4 linked regions of the Lepisosteus oculatus genome follow. The main gene of each other region encodes a partner of the protein of the gene in region 4 in a complex. Links are inferred from orthologs where the notes say so. Each region holds a gene or a part of one and is shown on either strand. Other genes may lie near its edges.

Region 1 (7,427 bases), on a different chromosome or scaffold from region 4:
ATATTATTATGTCTTAGATGAAGATCAAATCACATTTTAGGAGCCATTCATGCAGCAATCCATATAATTCCTAAGGGTTCATGAACTTTTCTCACAACTGTATATCACCCTGCAATTTACAGCTAGCAGCCCACTGAAGCTAAGCAGGTGTGAGCCTGGTCAGTACCTGGATGAGAGACCTCCTGGATGAGAGAGAGAGATCAGTATACTGATTGGGACACTGTGCTTTAAAAGAGGCACCGTCCTTAGTATAAGATGTAAAACCAAGGTCATTTAAAATCCCAGGGTGTTTCTTGAAAAGAGTAGGGGTGTAAACTCCTGTGTCCTGGGCCAGATTTCCCCCCATTATTATGACCTCCTAATAATCCCCATCTTCGAATTGGTTGCTTCACTCTGTTCTACTCCCCTGCTGATAGCTTGTGTGTGGTGAGCGTTCTGGCACACTATGGCTGCTGATGCATCATCCAGGTGGATGCTGCACATTGGTGGTGGTGGTGGAGGGGAGTTCCCATTACCTGTAAAGCGTTGTGTCCAGAAAAGTGCTATATCAGTGTAAGGAATTATACTGATTAGGAATTATTAAATATAATAAAAATAATAATTATTTATTTATTATTATAAATTTGTTTATCTGGGTTTATTAATGTAAGTTAAAATCCGTCCTTGGTCTCTACTCACTACCTTCCGAGTAGGATTCCATTTGTTACAGTTTACTCTGAAAAGGAATTCCATGCCCTCTACTCCAGCAGATAGCAGTGTCCCAAATATACAATGCCAAATGTGCATTTGGGTTACTGCTAGAATACCGATTTATAGCAGATGCCTAATTTTAAACACAAGTAAACAGTATAAAGTTTAACACATATGAGTGTTCTGCTAGTTATTATAAAATGCAAAGGCAGGGATCTTATTGCCAACACAAGCTGTAATGCCATAAAAATAGTATTTTTGCCAGAGTTTTCAGCGAAAATGAAGCATGTGGAAAAGGCATTTGATATTGAACTGTATGTGGTGCAGTAAAGAATGCAATTTAACCCAAACCAGCTCTCAGAGGAAGCATTTGTCATTCTACACAATGAAATATAACTCCTTTTTTATACTTTATGAATTAAACAGTGATATGCAGAATAATTCATCTATAAGCCTATTAATTAAGAACATAAGACAGGTTAGAAATGAGAGGAGGCTGTTTGGCTGTCTAGACCGATTAAGAATAAAACACCTTTCTTTGGGATTTGCTGCTTTCTGAACAGTTACATAACTGTTGCACAGACACACTATCTATTCATTCAATATTCTTGTACATTAATACCTGAACTGTAGGTGACAGGGATTACAAGGACAGTAACTCACTGTTCCCATCTGCTAAAAGAACTTTAGTTTAACACATCTTCACACATTGGCAAAATGTGTTTAAACAACTGACTTTCCATCGGCTTCTGTAGTATTTTAAGTCTCAACCTTTGACCTTTTGTAAAGGCTGGTGTCTGGGCTGAAGGGTGACTATAGTTCATCTGGGATAATCTCGGAAAGATTCTCTGCAACAGTACCATCAGAAAGCTCTAGGACTAATAGTATTGTATTAGAGTCATACTCAGGTTTAATCGGACAATTTATTTCTAAAAAGTCTAAATACAAACACAGGCAAAATAGACAAGATTAAATCAAACCTTTAAACTACCTGAGAACTGGCGAGTTACACATTGAGTCCTTGATGGCTTCTTTCCACTGATTAGCACACCAAATTGCCTTCAAAAATTGATTTTTACGTTGTAGTGGATAGAGGTTTTTACTCTGAGTTCAGGTCAGGTAATCTTTCCTTCATAATACATGGTCATCATGTTTCCATAAATCTGGTAGTATTGAAATTATTTCTTGTCTTTTGTCTATCTTCCTTTTCCTTATGTGACCTTTGTTTTATTTTCATTGTGTTTATGACATTTATTTTTCCATGTATTCTAGTGCAAATTCTTGTGAGACCCTATTTTTATAGTTCAAATTGCTGTAACAGACTCCCAGAGGATGTTATATGTCTAGCTTATAAACCCAATTCACTTCAGAATTTCTGCGCAGGCCATGTCAATTTACCTATGGAGGTTAGTTTTCAGTTTAATAATGAGATACACTAAACACTCCAAATCTTAAATTCTATCATAACATTTTTTAGCTCTGCCAGTCCAGAACTATTCTTTGTATGGTTGTTATTACAATATTCAAGAATTAGTTTGCCATTTTGCTGTATTATGTCTTGAGAATACTGCAAATATGCATCCTCACCAGGTCCGTTGATGTTCCCTGTGGTAATTATTCCGTTCCATTGTAGTTTCCTCTGAAATAATCTGTTTAAGAAGACATCTGGAGACATCATTACTGTCTAAAGGCAACTTGTGGGAGTAAACTTGGTGTTAATAAATTGCACATTGACTAATGGCATGGGAATGATCCTGAAGTTCATTTGTTTTGGATTTGTTTGTTTTTCCTTAATAAACATTGGTACTGGAGAATATCACGCACAGTACAAGTCCTGTCGTGGCTGATTACAGTGACCTCCTTCTACAGAATCTCTGTCAGTTCCAAAGTGCTTTCATACTCATGAGAGTCTTGCCTTGGGTATGGTCCTAATTAGCTGTATTAACAGTGTGGTTAACATTATGGCCTTAAAAAGGCTTTAGGTTGTATACAGTAGATAGCAGCATTACTCATTAACACTACAGACAGTTCTTCTACACCCCAAGGCATGAAATAAAGAACATCTTACAAAAATCGTGCTAAATCCCACAATAAGTTAATAACTTCCTATTTTGCCTGATTTCTTTTATTATTAAATTTTAAATAGGGAATGCCTTGGAAAGAACACACTGTAAAGGGATTGTTAATAAGCTTAAAAATGAGCAAACATATAATAAACCTCAGAGGTAAAAATCTAGCCCTTGTTCTGATGCCATCGCCCCTGTTATCTGTATTACAGAAGGATTTCTCTATTGTATTCTTTCTGTTAGGTAGACAGAAATAGTCTGAGTAACTTTTTCTCACTGGCATTATAAAAGTCTAAACACGAATGTATTTTGACAGTTTTATTTGCTCACTAATCCATTTTAATTGGAGATTCCATGCCCCTTTCTTTTAACAGAGCAGAGATAATTGAAAAAATAGATAGGCAAGACTGTGTTTTAGATTCCTTACATCAAGCACCTGAAGTCAGAGAGCCTTTAAGGGCAAAGGAGAAGCTGATCATCAGCTTGAACTGCTTTGTTCTGGTGTCCATCCCTAACCATGTCATCTACACAGGTTAGTGGAGCCAGCAGAGGTAAGCAAGAGGCTCGAGCTGAAGTTGCCAGAGGAGTGTTGGAAATAATCAAGAACCCACCAACACCAGGCAACAGAAGGACACTGGAGGAAGCCCACTCTCCAGGGGAGGAGCTAATCTCTGAGGGAGGTATTTGATTTGAAAAAAGTGAAGCGTACCAACCAGCATTGTTTTTTATTGCAGCTGTTGCCCCTCTTGCATTTTAGTAATTTAAATCTAATTAAAAATCCTGTATGGTTACTCTGTCATCAAAACTTTTACTCTGTATTTAACATAATCTGAATTTGACTAGTCCAATGATTTATGAGAAGCAAATAATGGCTTTATTAAATGTCTTATAGCACCCTCTTCAGGCCCAGGGATTTAAAAAAACAACTTCTGAAAAGACCAAAATAAATATTTCAAGTACATGTCATATATATAATGAATATGCTATTACAAATGTAAATCATAGGCATTAAACCATTCTTGTGTATATGCATATCTGCCTTGCATATGCCTACTTTTCTGTCTACTGTAAACACTTTGTGATGAGCACAGTATGTAAAATAAACCTTTTCAGGTTTGGAGATATACAAGATATTTTGTCTTTTACACTTGCCTATATTTTTGTGTTTGCTAAAATATCATTCTGATTTGCCGAAACTCCCCTGGTCAGATGAGCTGTTTCCAGTATTTGCTAGCAGAAGAAATAATTGTTATTTTTATTTAGGGAAGAATGTGCTCATATTAGATTTCCTACTATTAATGGAGAAATACCAAAATTAATATATGTCATGAAAAATAACATTCAACAACTTTTATCAACAATAATCATCTTTGAGTTATTAGGTATGAGCAGACACCTAATAACGTTAATATATTTTAGTTTAAAGGCAACATTACAAACTTGTTCTGTCTCAGGGAGGCCTGGTTATGTCACAACCCTAGTCTCTGTTATAAACCAGAAGTTTCACTTCAGGAAATCATCAAGTAGCTAGAGTGCAGATAAGAGTAGTACACAGAACATTCTTCTTCTTCCGTCATAGGTGTGCAATGCTAAGGTTGTACTGTAAAATGTTATACTCTCTAGAATCACGAATTAAAGAACAAGCCAAATGATAAATTCAACTTTAAATTACAAAAATACTCGAATAACAAGCGCACTAAACATCCATCCCGCATTCGAACTGCCCTCTCCGGCAGTCTCTGTCCCACAATGCATTCCGACCGGCAGCCTTTGAAAAAGCGGCGCGGCTCATTCAAGATGGCGGAGCTGGAGCAGCTGCTGGACGAGAGTGAGTAACAACAAAACTGACAAGCGGTTTAAAAACTGATAAAAATGTTCGGAAACAGTATTTCCAAGAGTAATACTGAACGGACACTGCTCAAGTGTTTCTGAAAAACACGCCCGAAATGAATTTGGACTGCTTAACGGAATTGTTTCTGACGCGAATATTTCTTGTTTGTGCCATGATCAGCTGCTTTTAATGAAGTAGCTAATATCAATACAAAAACACAGAGGTGAGCATTGTGCAACCTTTTTGACAGTCATTCTTTAGGTACACACAAAGGAGAATTTGATATATTTGTGTATCATCAACGAAAAGGTATGCAGGTCTTCCCCTTTCTAAATCCACAACAACAATTTAGCTGGAGCCTACGGAGAATAATAAAGCTCTGCGTTTCTTTACACTGACGTGTTCATTTTAACAACTTTTTTATTGAGCGATGCGAAATTCTCTTGTGTAAAAAAGTACCGTGAAATGTCTATCATTTTTTGTACTGTAAACACATTGTTTACCTGTGTGCTCAAACAGCTCATGACAGGAGTGTTAACTGGATAGCAGTGCATATCGAATGCCTGCTGTACAGTGAATTAAATTTAAAAATCTGCAGAAAACGTTATTGGAGCTTGTTCGTATTTTAAATGAGATGGATGGTTTTCCATTGATATTGTTTTGGTAACATTCTCATTGCATTTCATAAACTTAATTGTATCTTAGCTATATGAATACAATTTAGTTGTACTGCAGAACATAGTGTTATTACAATATGGACAAACTATACTCTTCTTGTTGAAAGACAGTTCTGTAAGCAATGGACTGGCAAATTGGAAAACTTAAAGATCTCTATGACTTGTGGGACAATTGGCCCTGGTGTGAATGTGTGTCTCTGTGTCTGTATGTCCTGTGATTGACTGATGTCCCATTCAGAGTGAATCCCACCTTGTGCCTGTTGCTTGCCAAGCTATGCTCCTGCTTCTGTGCAATTGGGTTTATTGGGTAAATTGGTTAGAAAATGGATGAATGGAGATATCTATGAAATTTTCACAATTGGAAATGTGGAATTGAAATTATCATCAAAAGTGTAGATTTAAAAAAAAAAGAAATCTTTTGATATTCATTGATTTCCATGTTTTATTTGTGACAAATATTAAACAAGTGCTCTGGTAATGGACTGACCTTCATGCAAACAATTGCGGAAGAAGGACTTGGATAGATTTAAAGGTTTCCAACATGCATCTGTTAGGCAAGAAACTGTAGCTTTTATACCATAATGAAGAACCTTGGAATGGGTATTTCAGTGGTTCTCAGTCCTGGTTCTGAAATTTGACCTTAATCAGTGATGCATATTGTTGGTAGGCTTACTTTTTTAGGAACCTAGGCCTTGGTTTAAAAAATACCCAAGTACTGTGTAACAGCTTTAGCATACAACACTTTATGTAGTCTCTTCTCAGCTTAAGAATTTCTTTGATTTTCTCATTTCTAAGGTTTCTAAAATCTTGTGTGTCTATTCTAGCATTGCTCATGTATTTAACAGAACATGAATTTAACATTCTAATGATAAAGAAAATTAAAAATGATTTTATTAATTTGAAGAATACTTTATACTGTTATCAAGGAGATCATGTTCCTTCATGTTGCCCTCCTACTATGTTATTTACAGCATCTTCAATGTCCAGTCAAAGAATCTCCCTGAATATGGAGTGGCAAAATGCCACATGTTCTTGTTTTTCTTGGCTGAACTTGCTAATAATTGCACACATTTTGTGTTTTCATCATATGGCCTTTCTTGGAGTGACAGATTATACATAGTTTGACTTCTGGTTTTGAAAGTAAGTGCAGTTAGTTTGTTTTATAGAGCTGATTTTTCAATTACATATGTATCCATTTCTAAAATGTAGGCTAGATCTCCTTAAGTTCTCCTGCTGATACTCACTGTCCTTTATAGATGCTTTTTCAGATGAAAATTAAATTACTTATGATGACAAATTTTCTTATGGTGGATTGTTGAATAATAAGTCAACAGAGTCATTTGGAACAGATAAGACGCGATTGTGGATTCTGGCAGAAGACGTAGTAGTTATTTAGCTATATCTCACAAACGTAGAAAGGGTAAAAATATATATGACCCCACTTTATCAATAATATGACCAAAAATATATTTGGGCTACCTGTGAACACGCATCACTTCTCTGTCACAGGAATCTCCTGAAGTAGAATTTTGAACCACAGTGGCATATTATTGGGTTATTACAGATGATATACTTATTACATAAACTGTAGTAACCAAATTGTTATACTCTTATGTTTCACCTTCCTGACAGCATCTCAAGCTATGCCATCCTTTCTGCTTAGCTGCTCGAATGTGGATTTAGTTCATCTCAGATTGTGATGAATTGGTTTAAGATGGATAATTTTTTTTTTCTACTGCATGCATCATACCCATGTTGTTTTAAGATAAGATCACTTTATTAGCCCTATACAATTTCTTGCATTAGGAATTCATCTTTTCCCATACCCCAGCTTGCTCTCCATGAGACACAGACAGGGAGAGTAGCTTGGGGTCAGAGTGCAGGGTCAGCTATTTATACAGCCCCCCTGGAGCAGCTGGGGCTAAGGGCCTTACTCGGGGGCCCAACAGAGTAGGATTCCTCTGTGGGATTTGAACCGGCAACCTTCCAGCCACAGGCGCAGATCCTTACCCACAGTGCCACCGCACCGGTTTAGACTATTGTAGGTGACTATGAAAGTGTCTCAAAGAATCTATAGACAATGGGTAATGCCTAGATAGTCAACATTTCCAGTTCTTATAGCTTCAAACCAAGGAATATTTACTTAGTTGTGCTGGGAGCGAG
Region 2 (7,801 bases), on a different chromosome or scaffold from region 4:
CAAAATGTGCTGCTGCATGATTTTACTGAGGCATTAAAGTAAAATGATTCAATATGTATTATTCTCATGAAGGTTCCCAAGTATTAGAATACATTGGGTGTAAAAAGATGATGTATTGAGTGATTACAAGGGAATATTACATGAAGCTCTTCTGAAGAATGCCAGGGTACATGATTTCATGCGAACAAAAAAGTAAGTTATAAAAGCTTTATTTCATGGCTGATTCAAAAAAGACGTCAAGATATTTTCTTTACATATCCTGTTTATTTTCTCGACCTGTTCTGATCTGTGTTACTTTTATATTGGGGAGCATAACTAACTATACACTATTTGCAATGTATGTGTTAATGGGAGTGATATGAAGAATGAGTATCCCTTATGAATGTAAACAGACCAGCTAGTCCTTAATAGAAAGATTTGCCCTTTTGCCTAATATACTGTAAGTAATATGATGTATTTTTATATTTATGCAGAAATTAGGTGTCATAATAATTCCAAATGCTTCTCTCTTTAATGATGATCAAAAATTATTTTTAACTGTGACATACTGGCCAAAATGAGGCCTGCACTTTCCCTTTTTTTTTAATTAAATGCTGTCATTTAATTTAAAAAAAACACATTTTCACTCTGTATACCTCCCTGAGGAAAGCAGTCTCTTCTGTTCCTGTGTAGAAGTGTGGGTCTTTCTTGGTCCTTAATCTGGAAGTGTGCCTTTTTGTATTTCTGAGGTTTACAGAGCTGGATGCATTAGATGCATAGTATCTAAACCAAACTGCTTTGTTTATTGTTTTGAGGAGGGAAATATGCATAACTTTCAAACGGCAGCTTCCTGAACTTGTCCAACAGGTTGTAACAGGCTGAAATACTGCTTTGCTTGTGAAAGAGGGGCAGGTGCCACACACAGAGGAGATATTATTTCATGGGCTGCTTTTTCTTCTTCCTTCGCTATAGTAGTAGTTGTCTTTGCTCTTTGTCTCACCAAAGGTATTGTCTGTTATAGAGCAGTTTATAGATGCATTTTATTTCAAGCTCAGGCTTATGTGCCAATATGTATAACCATCCATTTCCTAGAATTTGTTAAATAATAAATTCAATGTTTACAGGATCTAATTGAACACAAACACTGGGTATAATTAAACTGTGAAAATGTACTCCTTTTTAAAAATAGTATATTTTTAACTGGAGTATTTACATGTTTAATTTTGAAATGGAATGTTTTTTAATTCCAAATCATGCATTTTTAAACTGCACTTTTATAGTACTACCTCTGTACTGCATTTTGCTGTTTTATCACTAACACCAAGATTTGTATTTGCCATGACTATTACTTTATGATCCCAAATTTCTGGAGGCTTCAGTTTTTATAGAAATGACAATCTTGTATAGCAAGGTTAATGTCATTTAATTTGGGGGAGAGGGGTTGCTACCTGATTACAACACTGTAGAAACGTATTTCAAATTGTTTTTGTTTCCTACAGCTGCTAAAATATGACATCATCAAAACTTTATGCATTAAAACCATTAATATACTGTATATTTAAAGTAATTATAAATGACCTCTGTATAAGATTGTGTTCTGTTTTGACTACATTGAGGCATGGAGGTTTACTCCAGTATTCTTGTTCATATCACATAGCACAGTTTGTTAATTAGATTGTACAAACGGTGTCTTTCAGGTTGTGTTAATAATTATTTTGCCCTGTTTTAGGATTTATAACAAAGTGTCTGATTTTCCTCGTGGGCGAACCTTTGGCATGTGACCTGTCTTACTCATTAACTTTGGAGTGAACAGTTTGTCCATGGTTTTTGCAGAGGGGAAAAAACAGTACTGACGAGTGAAATTCAGATAAGAAGTTGCAAATTTCATGTATTATACATTTTCATCATCTTTACTATATCAAGAGAGCATTAACAGAGTATTAATAAGCTGTTAGGAATTCACCTTTACTGACAAATTGTACATTTATGGACTAAAGTCAGTTTGTTCTCATACAGTATATAAATGGTTAAAGGAAGCTTCAGTAACCTGCGATGGAGTCGTTAACCAGATCCCATCTAGGGTGACCTGGCCTTGCACGTGCTGTTTGCAGTGATAGGCTCTGGCTCACCCCACAACCCTGAATTGGAATAACCAGTTAGAAAATAGATGGATGGATAAATTAACTGGTCAATTATTTGTTTGGTTTAGGAGTTATAAGTGATACTTTCTAAAGGGTCTCACTTAAGTTTAACTCTCTGTACTAAAGGTCTATTAACATGTGTTTAATGATTTTATAAAGAGTTCTTAAATTACACACCTCTAATCCTAGGGGTGTAATCAGAAGTAGTTTTTTTTACAAATGTAATTAATCTAAACTAAAGTTTGGAAATGATCAAAGTTTGCTGACTGTTAATGTTGTTATTATGTTTCAATTATAAAATATTTAGAAATAGAACTCCTAATCTAAAGTGTTACTGAAAAGGGATGCATAATTTACAGAGTATCGAACTTGGCATTAAGATTTATGACTTAGATTAGTCGGACTCTGTGCCAGGCCCGATAGGCCGCGATCCCAGCACGTCTACTGGTTGGCTTAAGAAATCAGCCATTACTAACAGAATAGTGGTGAAATAAACTAGATAGGTACCAGACCTCACTTTTATATGGTGGAAAGTCAAACCCTGGTATACACCACTGCATACCACTTACATGAACTGGCATGAAAATGGAATGTGCCCCACCCTACCCTCATACCTACACACACATGCACACCCTTCTCTGTTTAACTAACAGGCGGTGATGGTGAAGTGTTATGCACAGACACTTTAAAATCAACACCATCACCAAAGCACAGAATAGCTGTACCTCAACAGAAACTATCCGTGTGTACTGTCTTTGCATTAGAGCTAATATGATTCTGTTGTTGGTTTCATCTTTGCATCATAACTGTAAAAGTTAGTTGAATACACTATGTATCACCCAACCTTTTGAAGCAGGAATGTCCTGGCAGGGACAAAATGCAATTTTAAAGATTTTGAAACTGGTTGTTGAGCTTAATTTAAGCTGTTTGCTTTGAAAATTATTTTTACTCACATTATAAATGAAGGATGCTGCAACATCTTTAAGCATCCTTTCTAGAATAGGTGATGAGTCCCTTTCAAGTCTGCAGTATATTAAAAGGTGATTTTAGCTTTCCTAGATCATCATCAAAGAAAACTAAGGTGTTTACTTCAATTTCAATCGTATAATGAACAGAACTACTTTAACTTGCACAATTCACAGATTTATTGTGTGTGTTATTTCACCATACCAAAGCCATTGAAAATGGCACTTGTAGATAAATATTCCCAAATTGTCCCTGGTGTCCCTTAACAACACCATGTCATCATGTTCACTGGTACAGCAGGTATGGAATTGAATTGTGCTCTTCATCCAAACTTGGAGGGAATGGGGAGTAAAAGGGTGGATTGTCTGTCTTGGAGAGGAAATAACTGCAGTAGGCCACATAAGATCCAAGAACTTGAATGTTGAAATTCCCAAATTGGCTTTATTGCTACCCAGTGGCTTTATTTCTGGAGGTTATACCTTTGTAAAATTGTAAAAGTGTGTGGGTGGGCCTTTATACAACAGTTTTTCTGAAGGTGCTGGTTTGTGTAGGGTACAACAAGGTGGGATTTCCACATTTTTCTGGCGGCATAACCGATGAACAAGACGTTTTTCCTGATGAGGTCTCTCAATGTAAAAATCTAATCAAACGGAAGTCTACAAAATCCCTCTACATGACCTTACTCTGGATTTGAAAACATTTATAAGCAGGAGTTCCAGGTTAAGACACATTTAGTCCAGTCTCTTGGTTGGAGAAACCCTGCAACAGAGAAGTCTCTGCTGTTAAGACACGGAATACTGGGAAGGCTTCCTTCTCATTTAATTAGATGAACTGTTATTATTTTATGGAGCCTAGGAGGCGAAAAGCGGGAATATTGTTTTTTTTCTCTGACGCACGACTTCTTAAGTCGTGACTGTGAGATAATAATGTCGTGCGAAGAAGATATACCTCGTGGCCAAACCATTCTCAACGATGTAGATGAAGTAAAAGCACAATCCTGATGGTCGTGCAGTAGAGATTTACGTAATGTCATCCCCACTACTTTTCTTGCTTGCACGATCTGTCCTGCGCACGAGATAAAGATGTTCTTTCCCCATGTCTCTTACGTGAAGGGTTACAGTGAACAAAAACGGACACCCCTTTATTAAGTCAAGACAAATCATTAATTATCATTATTATAATTTGAGGTATCGCAGACACATTTCCTTTGTTTTCGTTTTTTTAAGATACCAGCATATGCAGAGATGACTAATCATTTAGAGATAAGTTGGAACGACTCGCTGTTTGTTGGTGCAAAATGGAAACAAACTATTTTGATATCTCTTTCAATGATTTACAGGGATACAAATCTGAACTGTAAGGGATCGGAGAGTAAATTACCGTTCACATATTTGCAAGGATATTTCCAGAAGTCTCATAAAGTACTTTGAGGTGTCCCCTAAAGTTTAGGTTTCTTAAAATGATATAAAAGACATCCTGAAATATGAATCTCTAATTCATTAACAAGAAATATATCAAAATGATGGGTTTCTTAGATCCGTACTGTTTACATATCGGCCTGTCTTCTTTGTAAAAAGCCAGATGACAGCTCCGGTAAGGAGGGGGGGGTTGTCCAATCTGCTTTCATCTGGTGTCGAGCATCACAGACATGCGTGTCCAATCAGAGCGAACAGCTGCAGCCGCCGCCAAGCTTGTGTGCGGAGTCTGTTCTGACAGGAAGCGGACGACAGTTGCTTTGCAGCTTGTTTCCCTTCTGTTAGTGCAACTCGGGCAAAGACCATTGACGTTCACCCCCACTTTCAAAACTGTGCGGGGGGCAATTTCGCGCAACACCCGCAAGACGCCTAGCGTCAGGATAGCAACCAGCCTGGCGCCCTTCGGTAGTTTCAAGCTGCGGTGTATTTCTTTTAAAAAAGGCTGAGCTGATCGTTACAATAAGCGAACAAAAAACTCCCGAAAGACACAGCCCGCAGGGTAGGATAATACAGCGCATCGATTCACTGGAAATTGCTTGGATGTCGGAAGCTGCAAAAATCAAGTTGTGCTCGAGATTTTTTATTGAAGTCTATTTTCTGCACTTTAGACTTTAGTCTTTCCAAAATTGCAACTTTACAGTCTAGCGACCTACAGTACTGTATATCACTTGATTTGAAAGCGAGTTTATCTCTTCGTAGAATTTAAAGCTCGTATTCTAAGGTCTAAAGCTCGCTTTGAGTGTCGAATCGTAGACATCACTTTGTGCACATTTTTAGCTTATTTAGTTTATAAGAATTTTAGTCGACCGATGAATGCGGTTAAGAAATCGCACATACTGAAAACGAAACTAAAGTTTGCCCTTGACTGTGAATTCTTCTACAAAAAACAAAATGGTAAGTATATTTGACTTATGCTTTTTAAAATCGTTGCCGTCTTTAACTGTTAGTATTTCTTTCTGGATTTGACAAATATCAAATAATGCGACGGTGTAGGGTTTAATATGTTTATACTACAGTAACGCTAAGATGTTTGTAATTAAATTGTCTGATGTGCAAGCTTTCATTGACAAAAATGTACATAATTGGACTGCCGTGTGCAGTATTTATTTTATGTTGCAAATGCTATATTATATTAATATATTACGTCCAACTTGGTACAGTTTTGTGATGCAAACTAATTCGCGAGCAGTAAAGGAAACATCAAATGCCAATTCTGTACAAGACGAATTGGGCTATTTTTGCAAGAGTGAAAATGCAGAAAATGGTTAACATCCTGCTTTGCATGCGCGGTGTACCGGCCCTGTATGATTTCCGAGTAAGTTATTCCAGCCATCGTCTACAAATTCCTCTTTGGGATCAACATCACTCATGCCAGAGAGCCTCCTTTTGAATAGGCGTCCAGTTCCTGGCAGTGTTGTACATCTGCTCACATGCTTCTGACTTAGTGTGTTCTGCTGAATTTGATTTCTCCCTTCATGTTTCAGAACTGCTGTCATTTTTAAACGGACTGATTAGCCGTCCCTTTTTCATCTTCCAATTCCATTAACTCGTGATCTAAAGTGGGCAACCCCAAACTCGTCCAGCCTGATACCTAAAGATTACAAAAAGATTATTCACAAAAGCGTTAAACCCAAATATTCTACCCCGTAATCACAGGTATCTTTTACATTTTCCGCTCTTTATTAAAAACATACACTAAAAAGACGTGAGTACTATGGATGGCAGGGGGCAGCACTGTGATGTCAGTGTCAGTGAATCTTAGGTCTTGGCCCTGGGTTCAGATCTAGCCTGTTGGACCTTCTGTGTGGAGTTTGCATGCTTTCTCTGTGTCCTTTTTTTTCACCAGAACCTCCGGTTTCCTCCCTCAAGCTGTCTAGCTTAGCAGGCGTCTCTAATGGCTTCCCTGTGTGAATGTGTGCACTCTGCGATGAACTGTTGTCCCATCCAGGATGTAGCCCCACCTAAAGCCTTGCTCTGATGGGGTTAGGCTCTGGCTCACCACAACCCTCTAAGGTTGAATCACTTACTGAAAAAGGAATTATTTCTGCCATAGAGATCATCTTCCTTTTTTTTTTTTGTTCTGAATTTTTTACTTCATTTAGAAGACTGCCTCATCCTTTAGAGTTTCTGTAATTTGAATGTATTTAATGAAAGCCTTTTTTAATGTCCACCCTGCAGCTAAGATTGGATCTCTTCCGGTGCTTTCAGGCTGCATTAAACGTCCTAAAAGGAGATACAGTGTAGGAGCTCATGTTGCGTCAGTGTTTTATTATATGGTAGATTGGAGAAGTGGCCTTACGCAGACTTGCTTTCTCACAGAGATGTGCAGGCAGTGAAGTCCCTCAGAGTGAGATAAAGAAGTAACCGCACACATTCAAAATCCTTTCTTAGTTCCCACACTTCATTTAGTACAGCCTTATGAGACCAGAACTTTTTCAGGACAAAGATCCTTGTAAGGTACGGATTGTACTTGTACAGCATATGGCAAACAATGTCATGTCTGGCAGGAAGAAAAGTGTGAATCTAAACCTACATTTGTTGAGGCAGGACTGTTAGAGCTGCTTCGTTGGTGTTTTTGCATAGTACAGAACAACAAGCTGTCATACTTGTGGTGGACATCTGTTGTGCTTGTACAAACGGCTTAAAGTAATAATCTCTTAGTGGCAAGGCTGTGAAAACTGAGACCCTCCTGGGGTGAAGGGGTGGTGTGTGTGACAGGTGTCTTAAGATATTTGCTATCCTGCATTTCAGCAAATAATGGTGGGGTTGGGAATATGAAAGTTCAGCATCAGCTGCTGCAGTCATACACTTCGAACTGTAAAAGACCAGAGTTGTTATCAGAGTGTTGAATTGTTTTCAGAGTGGTTCTCTCCATGTTCTGATTGCCTCTATCACACACGGCACATGCCTCTTAAGTACGAGAGTGGATGACGTAAAGGATCGCCGTTCTGAGGGATCTGTGGTAAAACCTTTGTGCATAGTCTGAGATCCTTACCTGTGGAAAAGCAATTGGACGGCCATTTCAGCATTTCTCTACAGTTCAGTGAGCTAGCTTTGCTCGTTGTGAAAACAGCAGTGATCACACTGGCTGAAATAAAACAATATTTTCCCTGTTTAAGGAGAACTAATTATCTCCGTTTTCCTTTCTATGTATAATTGAGTCAGTGTTTTTAGACTGTCCCTTTTGCTTCAAGCAGTGTGTCACTTCTTGGTAGGTAGCACACTGTGGTACTTCTGATA
Region 3 (7,897 bases), on a different chromosome or scaffold from region 4:
TGGTCAAGCTCCCTAATTCTGCAAACAAGAAGACACCGAATTCAGACTGTCAGGCCTTTTTTACGAAAAACCAGAGGCTAAGGTCAAATGTAGTAAATATTAGGAATTAGGCTAGTTTTCCTAAAAATATAATAACAAACAAATAAATGTCATGGGTCCCACTGTATAAGATGCACAGATGAAAAGTGTTTTAAGTTGAGCCGTTTTGTTTTGGTAGGGGGAATCAGGGGCTGAGTGAATTAGAAAAAAAACTATATGGTTGCAAAGAGCTAACAACAAGAGACTGAGATACAATATCTTATCCCTGAGCTATAGATGGTACATGTGAGACAGATATCTTATCTTATTACTAATTCTTAGGGTTAAATATGCTGAACTAAAAAATGATTTCTAATAACTCAAGTAAAATGTCATTAGTCTTTGAATTTATGCTGTTAGAATATAATGGAAAAAATTTATTTTGTTTCACGCAAAAATTCACATTGTGTTTAATCTACTTTTGGATGGCCTCATGCAAACGAACAGAACACATGATATAGATTATCTAAATCTAGAAGAACAGGTACACTGTACTCTCTACCATCTTTTCATTTCCAGTCTCTAATTTATCTCACATTCGTGTTTCACTCCCCAAATCCAATATATTCAAAAGGATGTTTCATTTTATTCCACTGTCTATCTTCCATCTGGTGGCATGGTGATGGGCCCTGGGTTCAATTCAGGACCTGCAGTACTATCTGCGTGGAGTTTGTATGTTCTCCTTGCGTTCATGTGGGTTTCCTCCGATGATCCTATTAGGTTAATTTGCTTCTGGGATAATTGGCCCTGGTGTGAGTGTGTGTCTGCCCTGCAAATGACCGGCATCCTGCCCAGAGTGTATTCTGCCTCGTGTTATCTGGTGGCTGGGATAGGCTCCCTTAACCCTAAATTGGATGGAGCGATTAATAGATATCTATTAGATATCTTGTATAATTCTATTCTTCTTTATCGTGACAAAGACAAGTTATGGTCCTTCAGCAATTTAAAATGAGTTTGAGAGTGGTTTATATTTCACCCATTTGTTATCCTACGCAGAGGTGTGAGAGCGGGAGCCCCACCCAGCAGACACTGAGTTCCCACTGATGGGTTGCCGGTACACTGCAGTACACATACAAAGAGACACCAATGAAACCAGCCGACATGTCTTTGGAAGATGGGAAGAAACAGAAGCACCAAACAAATACCCACTTGATCATGGAGATAAAATGCAAACTCCCCACGGAAGGTAGCCCAGCCCAGGTTCGAACCCTGGACAAAAAGGCTATGAGGAAACAGTGCTGACCTCCACGCCACACAAACTCCACAGCTTACTTCACAAGAACAATCATAGCAAGTTCAAAATCAACACTACAGATGGACTACAATACTCAATGCTACACTGTTACCTTTTAACATCTCAATGTCATCATTCTCCAGTTCAGCCATCCACTTGGGTGGGGAGTTGGTTATTGGCTACAGAAAGAAACGTAAAACAGAACTATAATGGCAAAGCCAATAAAAAAAATACAAACAATTCTTCTTGGTTCGATCACTTCAGTGTAAATTGCCATTCCCCCAACTCACTCTCCCGAGAAATAACTACAAAATAAAGTATATAATACGTTCATGAAGGTTTATTATTTATGTGCAAAAGAAACATAGCACAAAAAAACACTTACACTTTTAAAAGAAGCTGCAAATTCTGCTACACCAGGCACTGTAATATAGAAGTTTAAAAAAACAAACTTGATGCACAATGAACCGACATATTCCAAGATAAAGGGGTCAGGGGGTCAGGAGAACAGTACAGGAACAGTTGACTGCTGATTTCTGAGAGCGTGAAGAAGAAAAGACAAAATTGGAAAGGACAAACCTGACCAGGCAATAGGGTTATACCGTTACTTCAATCTGGCAAGTGCCCTGGGACCTTGTAGTTAAGCATGAATGCTCAATCTGTTATCTCCTTCATAGAAAGGAGATCTACATCATTAAAAATGAACATTGTAATTTAGCTCAAATAAAAGAGGACTGCAGGACAACTTACCAGATAACCATTTATAATGCTACACCTCAAGCAAGCAGACCGGGTCTTAAATTCACATTATGAAAGCACTCGAAGAGTATTGTATTAGCGAACTGTACGAATTGGAGTTTCCCTCCAGACCGCGAATGTCTAGAAACTTGCTAGTGTGTGACCAATGCAATGTTTTGAAAGTGTGAATAGCAGACATGCAAATCGTTTTTGTACCAAAGACATTTCGCGCACATGTGAGGGAGGTCAAAACTTACATTGCTCCGGCCACAGATCTGGTGAAGCCCGGTCTAACTTTTCAAAGCTCAGCAGAGAGGTCTCCAAGTCATCACCTTGATTACAAAACAACATGCATTACACTTTACATCATAAATGTCTACATGCTTCCTGTAACGAGGTACAATATATGACCTCGATTATAGCAGTACAAGTTATAACTAACAAAGAGCTTAATCAGGAAAATAACGTAAACGGAAATAAAACTATTATTTGACAACATAAAATGCACAGCATTATAGCTTCTTTGCCCTTTTACAAGTATGCAGAGTTAGAAGTCCGATCCTATTCAAAATACACATTTGTGGTTCTCTACACCTATGTAAACCCATCCTATTACGTACGACATACAATACCTAAATTACTATTTAATTAAAACACGCTAGCAAATCGACAGCTATGTTACGAAGCATCTCCGTAGTGGCCACTCAAATTTAAAAAGACAATTCGTAAGAAAATACCTAAGTTTCAAAAATGCGATATTTTGTCTAAATAGTTCTTTCGGTGAAACTGCAAAAGCTTTCTAAACCCTTCTTCCAGAAAGTCATATAAACCTGAAATTAGAATTTACCTCCACTGGGAGACGCCATTTTCAAAACAACATCACGTGACCAACGGGGCCTGTTTGCCGTTGCTGATAAATTCATGCAGTTTTTAAATTTCTGAATATTTAATTACATACGTAAACCACATTGATAATTTGGTACTCATTACGTTTATTTTTTTTACTTATTTAGTAACTGACACATAATACATTTAATCTACTTTGGCGATTAAACATAATGAATGGCATTAGGATAAACCTGTCAAATGGAGGTTTGAATCCTTCACGTTTTGAACACCCAATGAATGTCACCATGACGAGAGTTTTCGCCCAATTGAGTCCGAGGTTGGGCGGGTTTTGTCTTAATTTCTAAGGCTATGAGCAAGGTGGATGAAAACTGGGAACCAATTCTCCTCCGAGAGCGGTGGGAGGTTTTTTCCCCGAGATAACGATTGGTGGAACATGTCTTTTTCCCCTCCCATCACGAATAAGTGTGTGTGAAGGAGTTTGTCGTTTCTCCTTTGCTGTCAAAAATTTACGGGGGGCGGGGGTTAATCTTGTGAAATTATTAGGGATTTAATTCATAGCGAGCTATAATTTGCAATCATGGCAACAGCAATTATCAGATCCGTGTGGAGGAATAAGGTAAGAGTGCATTGTGAACAGTTTATGGGTTGGTTTGGTCCCAGATTCTTTGTTTACACAATTCTGTTCCTTGCTCGATAGTTTTTAGTATCCAGCGCATTCCTGGAGTTTCTTGCCTGAAAGTCATACAAGACACTTCTCGTGCGCTTATTGCTAAAAATATGCGGTGTGTTCTAGCTGTCTTTTCCAAATTGATTGGTAACTAAAATTATCCTGGCAGTGAGTGCCGCATTATTAAATTACATGTGATCATTTGATTTGGAAATAGAGATTGCAGAATAAAAGCTGCTTATACTCAGGTGGGCTCATGCAAAAAAAAAAAGTAAAATGCTAGATTTTTTACTTTCGTAAGGATAGGTCAAGCAAGGTGTGCTCAGAGACTGAAGTTCAGATGTGCTTGTGATCTTGTCGGTATAGAAACTTCCTAATATTTAAATTCCTGCCTAGCTTAACCCCCTCACCCAACACGCACTTCATCATTTAGGTGTTGTATCAGAACCAGTTCTCCCTGATCACTCAGTGTCATTTGTCAAAAAAGGAAAATGCTGCCTCTTCCGTGGCTGTAAGTCTTTTTCTGCCAGTACTTCTGGTATTCTTCAACAAAATCATTCTCTGATCTGAAAAAGAGGGCTCATGCAAACAAACAAGAGTCATGGAACAGTAATTTGATCCATACATGCTTAACCTTTTATCATTTGCTGAAGTGCATTTTCACATTTCAATTTGACTGCATAAATGTATACAATATTTGCTATCTACACCATCAACAAAAAGAACAAGAGCTCACAATTATTAGAATTTAAAGAGTCTTATTTCAATCAATTTTTTTTTTGACTGCACTGATAAAAGGCTTTATTGTAAATCGGCGATTAAAAGCCTTTTTGGTTATTTAAAGATACACATTATTTCATCAAGCTTCTGCAGGGTATCTAGTTCACTTGCTTCTCTAGATCTTTAGATTAGGATAGTTGAACACTCTGAAACAAGGCAACAAAACTAAATAAAATGAGAAAAATACAAATTCTCTTTTGGATGTATTTTAAACACAAATGACAATTTTAGATAAGTAACTCCCCCCAGCCAACCTTTAAATGCAAAATTTGAAGGTTAAGAGAAAATCATCCAGAAGCACTGTCAGGGGTCATAAGATACAAACTGTGTGTCACTGCCGAAGTTATGCAATAGGCCTTAAGGAGCAAAATGTTTGCTGTGTTGTGGAGCCAGCACAGTTTGAGATTACAGCTTTAAGTAAAGGTGGATATAACATACTGTATTAAGGACAGTGGGAAAATGTTTGAATTACAACATCGAAATAAAGACTAGGGGACAATCATAAACTGATTTTTTAAAGTTTGACATTTTTTAGACTGATAACTGGAGGCACGTTTTGTACAAAATGATTTGTACGAGTCTGGAGCAATCTTCCCAGCCATGTTGTCGAAGTCGATACATATCTTCTTTCAAGACACAGCTGGATAACTTGAATCAGCTGCTCCTAGCAGCCAAACTGGGCCAACAGCCTCTCGTTTGTAGCCTTTCTGATGGTTTGATGTGCACTCCTTCCACCCTTTCAAGGCAAAGTGTTTTATACCGAGATTACTAATTAGCAAATGGAGAAAATGCATATACAAAATTCCTTACAGCACTTTTCAGTTATGGTGGGGATAATTGTAAAATATCAATGTGTTTTTATTTCAAATGTTCTTTTCATTTGTAGGCTTCTTTTTGTGGACATAGGCTGTTTGCTGTATTATTTACAAATTTAACAGTTCAGTAAATGATTTAAAAGTAAAGGTTTATATGTCGGGTGGCACAGTTGCTCAGCATTGCTGCCTCACAGAGCTGGGGCCCTGGCTTCAGTTCCAGATGAATGCTTGTGTCCGTCCGCTCTGCGAGTGACTGGCGTCCCGTCCAGGGCGTATCCTGCTTTGTGCCCGTTGCTTGCTGGGACAAGGAACCTGAATTGGAAGAAGCGGTCTGAAAATGGATGCCTGGATTGTTTTATAGTTCATCGAATTTTCAGTTGAGTTAGATCTAAGAGACCTCTAATAAAAGCTGAATGAGTGTTTGTTTTACCTTTGTTACTGTACAGTATTTTCAGCTTCAAGGCCATGTTGCTGTTTTTCTCAATGAATGCCGATGAAGGACTTTTGCAAAATCTAACGTGTAGTTTAGTTATACGACAGCTTCTTTTCTGCCTTCTTACCAGCGTGTTTACTTCACTAAGCTTATCTTTGCCATGCTCTTGTGTTCCAGGTGCCCCTTGGTGTTGGGCGAATGTACTTCTCCTCCTCTGTGGTGAGTTGGTCCATTTCTTTCATTTTATAAATTAATGGGAAGAAATGCGATGGTCAAAATTTCATTTCTATTCTGCTGTGCATCCAAGGTAATGTAATGTAGTCTCTGTTGATTTTTTTCCACGTGAATTCAGGCAGTTTAGCCTTCACTGTGATGAGAGGCATCTGGGATAATAGGGTTTGTTGTTCATAAACACTATTATTGTTGTTACTGGGTTCTTACTGCATGTGATGAAGCTCTTGAATTATTTACAGTTTTCTTCCTTCCACAGCCCACAACCAAGCTGTTCATTGATGGAAAGTTTATTGAATCCAAGAGTTCAGAATGGATTGACATTCATAATCCTGTAAGTACCCATTAACACTTCCTGAACACTTGTATAAAGGGAAGGATGCATTAAACCTTTCAATTTCAAATGCTTGCATCCTTATTTATGAATTTAATTGACAGCATATTTGATTAACTTGGCAGTTTCACTTTTTAAAAGCCTCCCGTGCCTGCTACTCTGTGAAAGAGGTTAATTACAAACACCTGCCATGATGCAATGAGTTACATTCAGATGGCTGATCTCTACAGCTGTGCACTTTTAATCAGCCTCTGTCTGGAATATGTGACTGCTTTAATCCCTTTATGTTGTCCTTAAATAGAAAATACTCTAGTTTAGTTGAAGATGTATATTCTACCATGCCTATTAATTATTGACTAACATTTAGTTCAACAAGTAAAAACCCAGCCAACAGAAAATATACTATCATTTAAGACAAAGTTACATTTAATCGTTACATCATGCTGAAAAGTATGTTTTGTGTTTCACTATGAAAATCTACTATTATTGTATTATGTAGAAATACTAATAATTATTTTAAGAACTTGTATGTCGGGTAGCACTGCTTAATAATTAAGCAATATAATTTTCTGAGTTCAGCAGTTATCTTGCTGTAACCAAGCTCTAAAGGTCAGTCTAGATATGGAAATGGTGTTTGTCTGACTCCAGCGGGCATGGCTGAGGACAGCCTGTGATGTAATCTCAAGAAAAATAAGTAAAATAAAAATCACAAGTGACATATTGGTGACGTGGGTCTGTCATACCATTGGCTTTACATCATTATTGTGTGTTATCTTTCTGCCATTTACTGATTTACTTTCAACCGTTTGGCAAAAGTGCTTTTTCAAGGAGCTTTGCTAAATCCTTACTGCCACAAGCTAGTTAAATTGGCCCTGGGTGCACAAAATTACAAGAAAAGTCTCTCTGGAACCATCTTAATTCTGTCATCTGTAACTTTAATGCATCACACCAAGGGTAGGGAACAAATGCTTTGTTTCTGTAGGGTATAGAGGTACCTTCCAAACAGCACCAGATTGGCACCTGGAAAACACAAATTCTTATTTAATTGGTTTCATAATGCTGCCAGGGTCAGAGATAGAATGAAAACCAGAAACAAAACGCGTCACTCAAGGACCAGAGTTGCCCACCTCCGCACTGCACAATCAGAGAATGGGAAGGAGAAAGAAAAAGCGCGTCGTTGGGAAACAAATGTGGTTTTTTCCTGATTTCTAGTCCCGATTTACCTGCTGTGGGGTTTGCTGTTCCACAGGCCACGAATGAAGTGATTGGCCAAGTGCCCAAAGCAACGCAGGAGGAGATGTTGGCTGCTGTGAACTCGTGCACCAAGGCCTTCCACTCCTGGTCAGCCACCTCTGTCCTCACCCGTCAGCAGATATTCCTGCGCTACCAGCAGCTCATCAAAGACAACCTGGTAAGAGTCCCACCATCACTGTGGGGATTGTCCTTTTCTGTCCCAAAATGAATTTGGAGGAAAGGTCCTCCTTGTGGCCTTTTCCAAACCCGCAGGAATGACTTTGTGCTTGTTTTGCTTCTTCTTCGGACTCCCCCGAGCTACCTCTACGTCTCACCTCCAGTAACCTCCCCACCCTGAGTCTGTTCACATCGCTGGTGTTATTTCCAGAAAGAAATTGCCAAGCTGATCACTCTGGAGCAGGGGAAGACGCTGGCGGACGCAGAAGGAGACGTATTTCGAGGACTGCGTGAGTCCGCCCCTGTCGCGTTTCTGTCCAAACACAAC
Region 4 (7,028 bases):
CGGAAAAACACCCCCTCCCCCCCCACCTCCTGAACTTCAGAGTGTTCCACATGTCGCTCTTTAACAAACAAAGGCTTATATCACCAGTATACATGTATGAATCATTAATAGACAAGAATAATGGAAAGCTCACTTTTTCCATAAAGCTTAGTTGATAACCTGTCAGTTTTATCCTGCTTGTGGCTATTGCAGTTTCCACAAAGACTAATACAGAGGAACAAGTTCTTAAAACAAGTTTCTGGAACCTAACTAATGTGACCCTAGAGACCTTAAAAGAGAATAAGAAGCTGAGGAAATACAACCACCTTCAAAACACTTGAAACCCATGGAATCTGAAATAACAAGAAAACTGCAGGCATTCTACAAGCATCTAGATGAAACGACTCAGCCTTTGCACTAAGTTCATTCCTCGGGTTCCTGAGGAACCAGCTTGATAAGATTCTTGGATCAATAACCTATCAGCAACCTGTGTAATAGCCCATAACTGATGTATTATGGGTGATGATCATGATGGATCGCAGAGAAAGAGCTTAATATTACACAGCCTTGGTCAGTGGCCTGACAGCTCCAGATTCCTGGGTTCAATTCCACATTGGGATGTCTGTCTTTGTGATGTCTAAGCAAGATAGGTGGGACTAAATTGTCCAACTGAGGATGGTTCAAGAGGAATTAATTAGCTGTTCCCCCAATTTCCCAAGATAACCAGTAGTAGCTATGGGACTAAAGAGAAATAAAATCAAGCGAGCATGCTTAGAAACGTGTTTGTTTTGAATTTGCAATACTGAGCATCTGGTATTTTTCAAGACTTATGCTGTAACTTATGACAGACCTATTCCTTAGTTCAGAGGGACACAGAACACATCTGCTTTCCCAAGGTTCTTTTATGAGCCAGTGATCACCCAATAAACAAAAAATAAAATATTATACAAAAATGAAACAAGATTTGAATATTAGAAGATGGGTGGCACACTTCCTAAGAACAACTGAACAAAAACAGTCTGTCTACAACTGGAATGTATTCTTTTATGTCTGCAGCTAAGCAGCATACTTTAATCAAAGTGATTTGTGGTCCAGGAGGTCATTTTCATTGGGTGCATTTCTTCACAAGATCACTGTCTTTAAGGAACTACAATTTCACTAATATTACATACCTGCAATGTAACAGATTTTCACATCACAGCTTTAAACATAGCCGAGTGTTGCTTTTTGCTTAGAAAAACTGGGCTCGATATAAGTTCAGAAATACAAAAAGGACGGTGAGTAATGTGAAATGAAAAACTATCTGTAGCCAGTATTGCTAGATGTCGATTATTAAGAGTGAATCAAAAATAAAAAGGAAACATTACAAGTTTATAAAACATTCTTCTGCTGCATGTGACCAGAGCTAATTCCCCATGTCATTCCATTGTGCACAGGATTTATGTAATCTGCCTACGTCTATGAAAATGGCAAAAAGACCAGTGGATGACCTCTTCTTAAAACAAAACACTACACAGGACCTTACAAGGAGAAAAAACATTTAAAAGCAAAACCTCTTATTAGACTGCATTTCTCAAATAGTCTTCATCCCACTCGCAAGCAAGCAGAAAGCAGGACTGCTACAGTACCGCATTGTTCAATCAGTACATGCATGGCCTTAAGTAGTTTTGCAGAAAAAGCGTGTTATTATTGTTGTTTTTGTACTTTATTATACGTCTAGCCGACCTGATCGAGGTCCCAGCAGACAGAGTGTATCCTAACAGTCTCAGCGAGGTGCGAAACGGTCTTGGACAAGGTACAAATACCTCACGTACTGAAATCATCTGGTGCAGCGAGCAAGACTGAAAAAACCTCACTGGCGCAGGCAAAAACCCCGAGAATGTAGCGCGCAGTTAAGACTACAGGGGAACGCGGTTTTCCCCGTCAACGGAAAGTTTTTAATTTTCATAATATACTCGATGAACCATAGCCAGAGGGGGGGGGGGGAAGAAAAGCGATTATCAAAACAGCAGCCAAGACAGAAATGAGCCTGAAAAATACCCCCTCGATTCGTGCAGCATTCGCCTCGTTTGTGAACGCTTTGCCAGGTCATTTTTTTTACTCTCAGCTGCCCAAGTCCGAGGTGCAATGCAAAGCCATCTATCCAAGCAAGCTGGGCATCAGGTTTACAGTAGAAAATGTTTTTTTTAAAACCACAATAAACAGTAACTATGAGATAAGAAGGGTGGATGGATGAATGAATGACGTTAAACAGCGCACTAGGGTTTGGACAGGAGCCCGGTGCACTAGATACAGTTTTCAACTGATCCAAGTTTCCTACTGACTCAGACAGGTCGATGGCGATCTGAGCAGTGCCGGTGGAGAAAGCGTTAACTGCAGCATCCCGAGTGAAGTACCTTCCCCTAAACACCCGGCGTTGGCACCGCTCCCTCTAACTGGCCGGAGCGCGAATCCACTCACATCTACAGGACAGGAGAAGTCACACAAGCAGGTGCTGATGTGGCAGGGAGCACGAATCGGCAGGGACATGCTTTCGGCGTTTTAAATCAAACGGCAATGAATAGCAGAGGGGCCAGCGCAGTAGCGAGCTATCAGTGAAGTGAGGGGAGTTAGTGAGCATCTGCAGACGGGAGGCATTAACTGCACGCTGTCAGAGTTCAGTATCCAAGTTCCTACTTTGCTGTAAAATTACTGCAGGAGAAAGACAAGGTCGACATGTGTCACACGATCACATCGCGACTGTACCGTCCCGCCGCGTCCAGTCACACCTGGCGACACCGTTAACGGAGAACCTTGCCCCCCAAGTCGTTTCTGAAGTTGCGGGAGCAGGCGGCTGTGCAGCCGCAGCGTGTAATTATAGTCGTGCACACAGGCCGTGCTCCCGGGGGGAGGTCTGGCGAAGGCGGGGAGGGGAGTCGGCACTCACCTGCGCGATCTCCCGCTGGCCATGGCGACCCCGTCTGCCGACGAGCCCCGGAGCACGACCCGCCGCTGACTTGTCGCCTTCTCCTTCCTCTTGTTCTTCTTCAGATGCCTCCCTGCTTCGGGGGATAGCGGTGTAAGGTCGACGTCCACCCGCTGTCAGTCCTCGTTAGTGCAGCCTGTCCTTCGGCGACGGAGACATCCCGGCTGCGCGATTACATTTTGAGCCACCTCGGAGCGCCGCTTCTGTGTGACCAAGTCCCTCCGCAGCGCAGCTAACTTTCTCCGGGCTTTGCAACTGTCACCACCTCGGGGTGCTGTCAGTGTCCGCGGTGTGGCAACGGGGGGACGGACGCCGAACTGCGCATATTTTCCCTTGTTTGAGCCCCAGTCAGCCGCCGCTCGCCCTTCCTCTGCGATGACAGCGCGTCTGTGTTATTTTCGCCGCTACGGATTTTTTTTGTCCATCCCGCCGATTCTCGCGCCCAACCTCCTTCTAGAAAAATGTTTGAATCTGCGCACGCGGCCCCGGATCTGATTGGTCGGAGGCGTGGGCGGTCCCTCGCTCTCGCCGTGCGGCGTGTGACGTATTTTGTTTGGTCGGGAGGGGGTGAGTCCCAATGTGCTCAATGGAGTTGTAGTTTTTACGGATTAGGCTGCAAATAAAATTACTTTTGTTTTTATAATGAAGGGGGGCGCGAGTCCGTCATTTCATTTTTTTTTATGTACCGGAATAATTAAACAAGTAAGCCTACAAATACTTAGAAAATATGACAAATGAAAAAATTCCATAAAGATGTCTGTGAGGACTAAATAAATCATTATTTGATAGGTAGCAAACATACGACGTTGCTAGAACCTGACTTATTTCAAAATACCCTATTTCAAAACGGAGACTTGTTACGTCGGTTTGTAACCATTTGCTTCTATGTAACTATGTAGATTTGCTTTGTCTTAATACCACCATGTATAAGACTTTTAGCCAGTTAAATATGGTTTAAAGGCATACAGAGCACATAGCACATTTGCTTCGGTTTCTTAAAGGTTGAGACGCAAACTGCTCTGTTTTAAAACGGGGGGAATAAAATTCAGAAACGTCTTTGTTTTGCATGCTGGCAAGAAGCAATGCAAATAACACCTGATACCGAATATAACTTAACATTGTATTTTAAAGTGAGAGGAAGAGTCACATTTAACTTTGGAGGTCAGACCCATACTCTGCAGCGGCAGATATGTGGGTTTATAAAGTAAATCTGGATGTTTGGTTTATGAAAAGAAAAAAAGAACCGGTTCAAATGCACAGTTCATTCTTGACACTAATAAATACTGCCCCCTGGTGTTCATTATTTTATAAAGAACTGCCTTCACGTATCATTAATGTGAAAAAAGAAATTAGGGGATAGTGCAAAGGATATATGTCACCATCAAAAAGTCTTATTACCTAAACAGCAATTATTTCTGAAAGGAAGAATCGCTTAAATTTGCGATTTATTATCATTAACACTACTACTTATTTTGCCTACTCAAAATAAGAATAATTCTTTTGAAGTTAGCATTAGGCAAAGGAAAAAAACGACAGGTCCGAACGCAGAGTATTCAGAGTAGTGTATTTCTGAGCATGCAAACGAATATATTTCTATTTTTTTATTTCCCCCGTTTTAAAATAGAAAGAGCAATTAGTGTCTCAGCTTTTCAAATACCGAAGCAAATGTGCTATGTGTTCTATATGTCATCTCTATTTAAACTCATCCATGGTATTTAAAACGGGAAGTTTCAGCAGCATTTTATTCCAAAGTGCTGCTATAAAAATACACCCTTTCTTTGGCCGCCATCGCATCATCCAGCCAAGAGCTACTGTACACATTGGTGGTGGAGGGCAGTCCCCATTACCTGTAAGTGTCCAGCAAAGCGCTATATAAATGTAAAATTAATATTTTTTATTGTTGCTATTTTCCGGGCACACTTCAGTTCAAAGTGCTTGTCAGAATGCACACCCCGTTTAGCAATATAAATAAAGTGCCGTGCAAAAGTATTCAGCCCCCTTAGTCAGTATTTGGCATAAGACACTTTCACTGCCATTCCTGCTGTGAGTCTTTTGGGAAAAGGTTTTATAGGTCTTGCACACTGGGATGGTTCTATTTTAACTTTTTTGGGGGGGTCAAACTCGGTCAAGTTCATTTGAGATCAGTGATAGCAAGGAAATGACTTGAAAAACATCATACCAATATCTAAGATCAGTAAATGCAATTAAAAATATATATATACAGGGGAAACCAGGATTAGCAACCCTGCTTTTACAAAGAGTCCTACAACACTTTAAAGACCAGGTAGTCAGGACCTCAGTTTAAGGGTGTCGTCTCCACCTGCTGCAGTCACCCCATCACCATACTGAGGTACTGCATTGGAAATTCTGGTACAGAGGAAACAGTCCAACTTACTGATCCACCAAGATCGTTCACAGCAGCATCAATGTTTTGCTTCAAGGTCTCCATTTCTAGGAATGACCACACCCAGTCTCACATAACATCCAAGATCTGGGATCAAGCTGGTAATGTCAAATAGCACAGTACAGACACCTACCTTATTGCGTGATCTTCAGATTTCTTGAGCTCTTCTTTTTTCTAGTAAATTTAAAGCACTGGCCTACACACAAAGTGTCTGTTAAGATGTGTAGGTCTGAGATGAGTAACCTGGAGTTAATTAAACACAATGGAACGCCAGAGTGTGAAGCAATTACTTTATTGCACTAAGTTTGAAAAGTCATCACGCATGCTGACAGCAATGTTGTATCCTCGGTAACTTCAATTGTTTTATTAGCAAACAAGGGGAAAAAAACATTTCTGTACAGATCGAAGTATAGTACAATATATACTATTATAATACACTGGCTTACATTACATATAATTAGTACAGCAGTCACAAAGAAACAAACCTCTGGTTTGTTGGAAATTACCAGTGTTGCCCAGACTAGGCAAATTTACTACCTCTTTCCATTTCTTTCATTGAATGGACAACAATATAGACTATATTCTAAAACAGAATCATATATACACTAACACAAGCTATTTATACACATTCTAACAAATTTCCCTCTTACTTTGAAAGTGCTTGGATGTGTTTTCTCTTGTACAACTTGCCCACACCAATTCATTCTCTCCGGCTGTCGAGTTATTGCTCAGCCTCAATGTTAAAAAAAGAGACGGCATCCCACCTTTTAATCCATCATGGAAGTCGAGTTTGGATTTTGCCATCTTTTCACACAGTTGGCACAGATAATGGAGTTCAGTGCATGTAAATCAGATGTAAGGTACTTCCAAGACTACCGACTGCAATCAAAGATACTTCACGTACATCATAATTTGTGAGCCAGGACTTTCACAGAACAAGGTACTTAAAATTATTCTAGCACTTCACACTTCTCAAAATGGTCTCCCTCTTCAACAAACATGGCTGAATTCTCCTTTGGGCTCTCTGCACTGAGTGGGCAGCCTCTTACGAGCTGTCAGGCCCTCTGGTGTGTAGGTCCAGCTCCGATCTGGAGCTTGACAAAATGGTGTTTGGAAGAAGTCAGACCAGTTTCTTAAGGGCCTTGATCAGTTGTGAATTGGGAAGAACCCGTGAAACCCCGCAGGTTTCCAGATTAGCCCAGAAAGAGATTTCCCTCTTCCCGGTCGACATCGTCAAAGCAGAGAGGTCTGTTTGGCCACGTGTGCCATGTCACGTACTTGAGGCCTCCATCACCTTTGAAGCTCACCATTTTCTGCTGGTCAACACGAGGTTTTCCTCTTGATTTAACCAGGAACTTCAGGTCATTTCAATGATTTCGGTGGTGGGGGATGGGAGGCTGCTCATTCTGGCAACTCTCCTCCAACCAATTCAAGAAAGAGGAAATATTTTCAGTGAAATGATGAGGCTCAGATTTAAGAATAAGTCATGAACCAAATTGCTGTGATGATTTTAAATATCTTGCGCTATGCTTTTACTGACCTTTTACTTTTACTTTATGTGACTCGATCTAAAAATATATGTACCACCATTATAAAATACCTTCATTACATTTAGGAACACTGCATTTAGAGGCACCTTTTTGAAAACAAAATCACGTGTGTGTGTGTTTACCATTACAG

The links.
Region 1: mybl1 (region 4) and lin9 share a complex: the UniProt entries of both Homo sapiens proteins name them as parts of the DREAM complex. The link is inferred for Lepisosteus oculatus from reciprocal best matches to the Homo sapiens genes MYBL1 and LIN9.
Region 2: mybl1 (region 4) and tfdp2 share a complex: the UniProt entries of both Homo sapiens proteins name them as parts of the DREAM complex. The link is inferred for Lepisosteus oculatus from reciprocal best matches to the Homo sapiens genes MYBL1 and TFDP2.
Region 3: mybl1 (region 4) and lin52 share a complex: the UniProt entries of both Homo sapiens proteins name them as parts of the DREAM complex. The link is inferred for Lepisosteus oculatus from reciprocal best matches to the Homo sapiens genes MYBL1 and LIN52.

The regions. Positions count from the first base shown.
Region 1 is NC_090697.1:55,789,296-55,796,722, reverse strand, and holds the start of lin9 (protein lin-9 homolog), read left to right. Parts: upstream 1-4,417; 5' UTR 4,418-4,505; coding exon 4,506-4,584; intron 4,585-7,427. UniProt on the Homo sapiens protein: Acts as a tumor suppressor. Inhibits DNA synthesis. Its ability to inhibit oncogenic transformation is mediated through its association with RB1. Plays a role in the expression of genes required for the G1/S transition.
Region 2 is NC_090708.1:15,800,259-15,808,059, forward strand, and holds the start of tfdp2 (transcription factor Dp-2), read left to right. Parts: upstream 1-4,791; 5' UTR 4,792-5,455; intron 5,456-7,801. UniProt on the Homo sapiens protein: Can stimulate E2F-dependent transcription.
Region 3 is NC_090703.1:9,641,060-9,648,956, forward strand, and holds the start of lin52 (protein lin-52 homolog), read right to left. Parts: upstream 3,003-7,897; 5' UTR 2,974-3,002; coding exon 2,898-2,973; intron 2,383-2,897; coding exon 2,308-2,382; intron 1,736-2,307; coding exon 1,698-1,735; intron 1,492-1,697; coding exon 1,425-1,491; intron 19-1,424; coding exon 1-18. Other genes in the region: aldh6a1 (methylmalonate-semialdehyde/malonate-semialdehyde dehydrogenase [acylating], mitochondrial), read left to right, coding at 3,477-3,515, 5,772-5,813, 6,085-6,159, 7,409-7,570, 7,781-7,859.
Region 4 is NC_090701.1:51,408,521-51,415,548, forward strand, and holds the start of mybl1 (myb-related protein A), read right to left. Parts: upstream 3,016-7,028; 5' UTR 2,929-3,015; coding exon 2,906-2,928; intron 1-2,905. UniProt on the Homo sapiens protein: Transcription factor that specifically recognizes the sequence 5'-YAAC[GT]G-3'.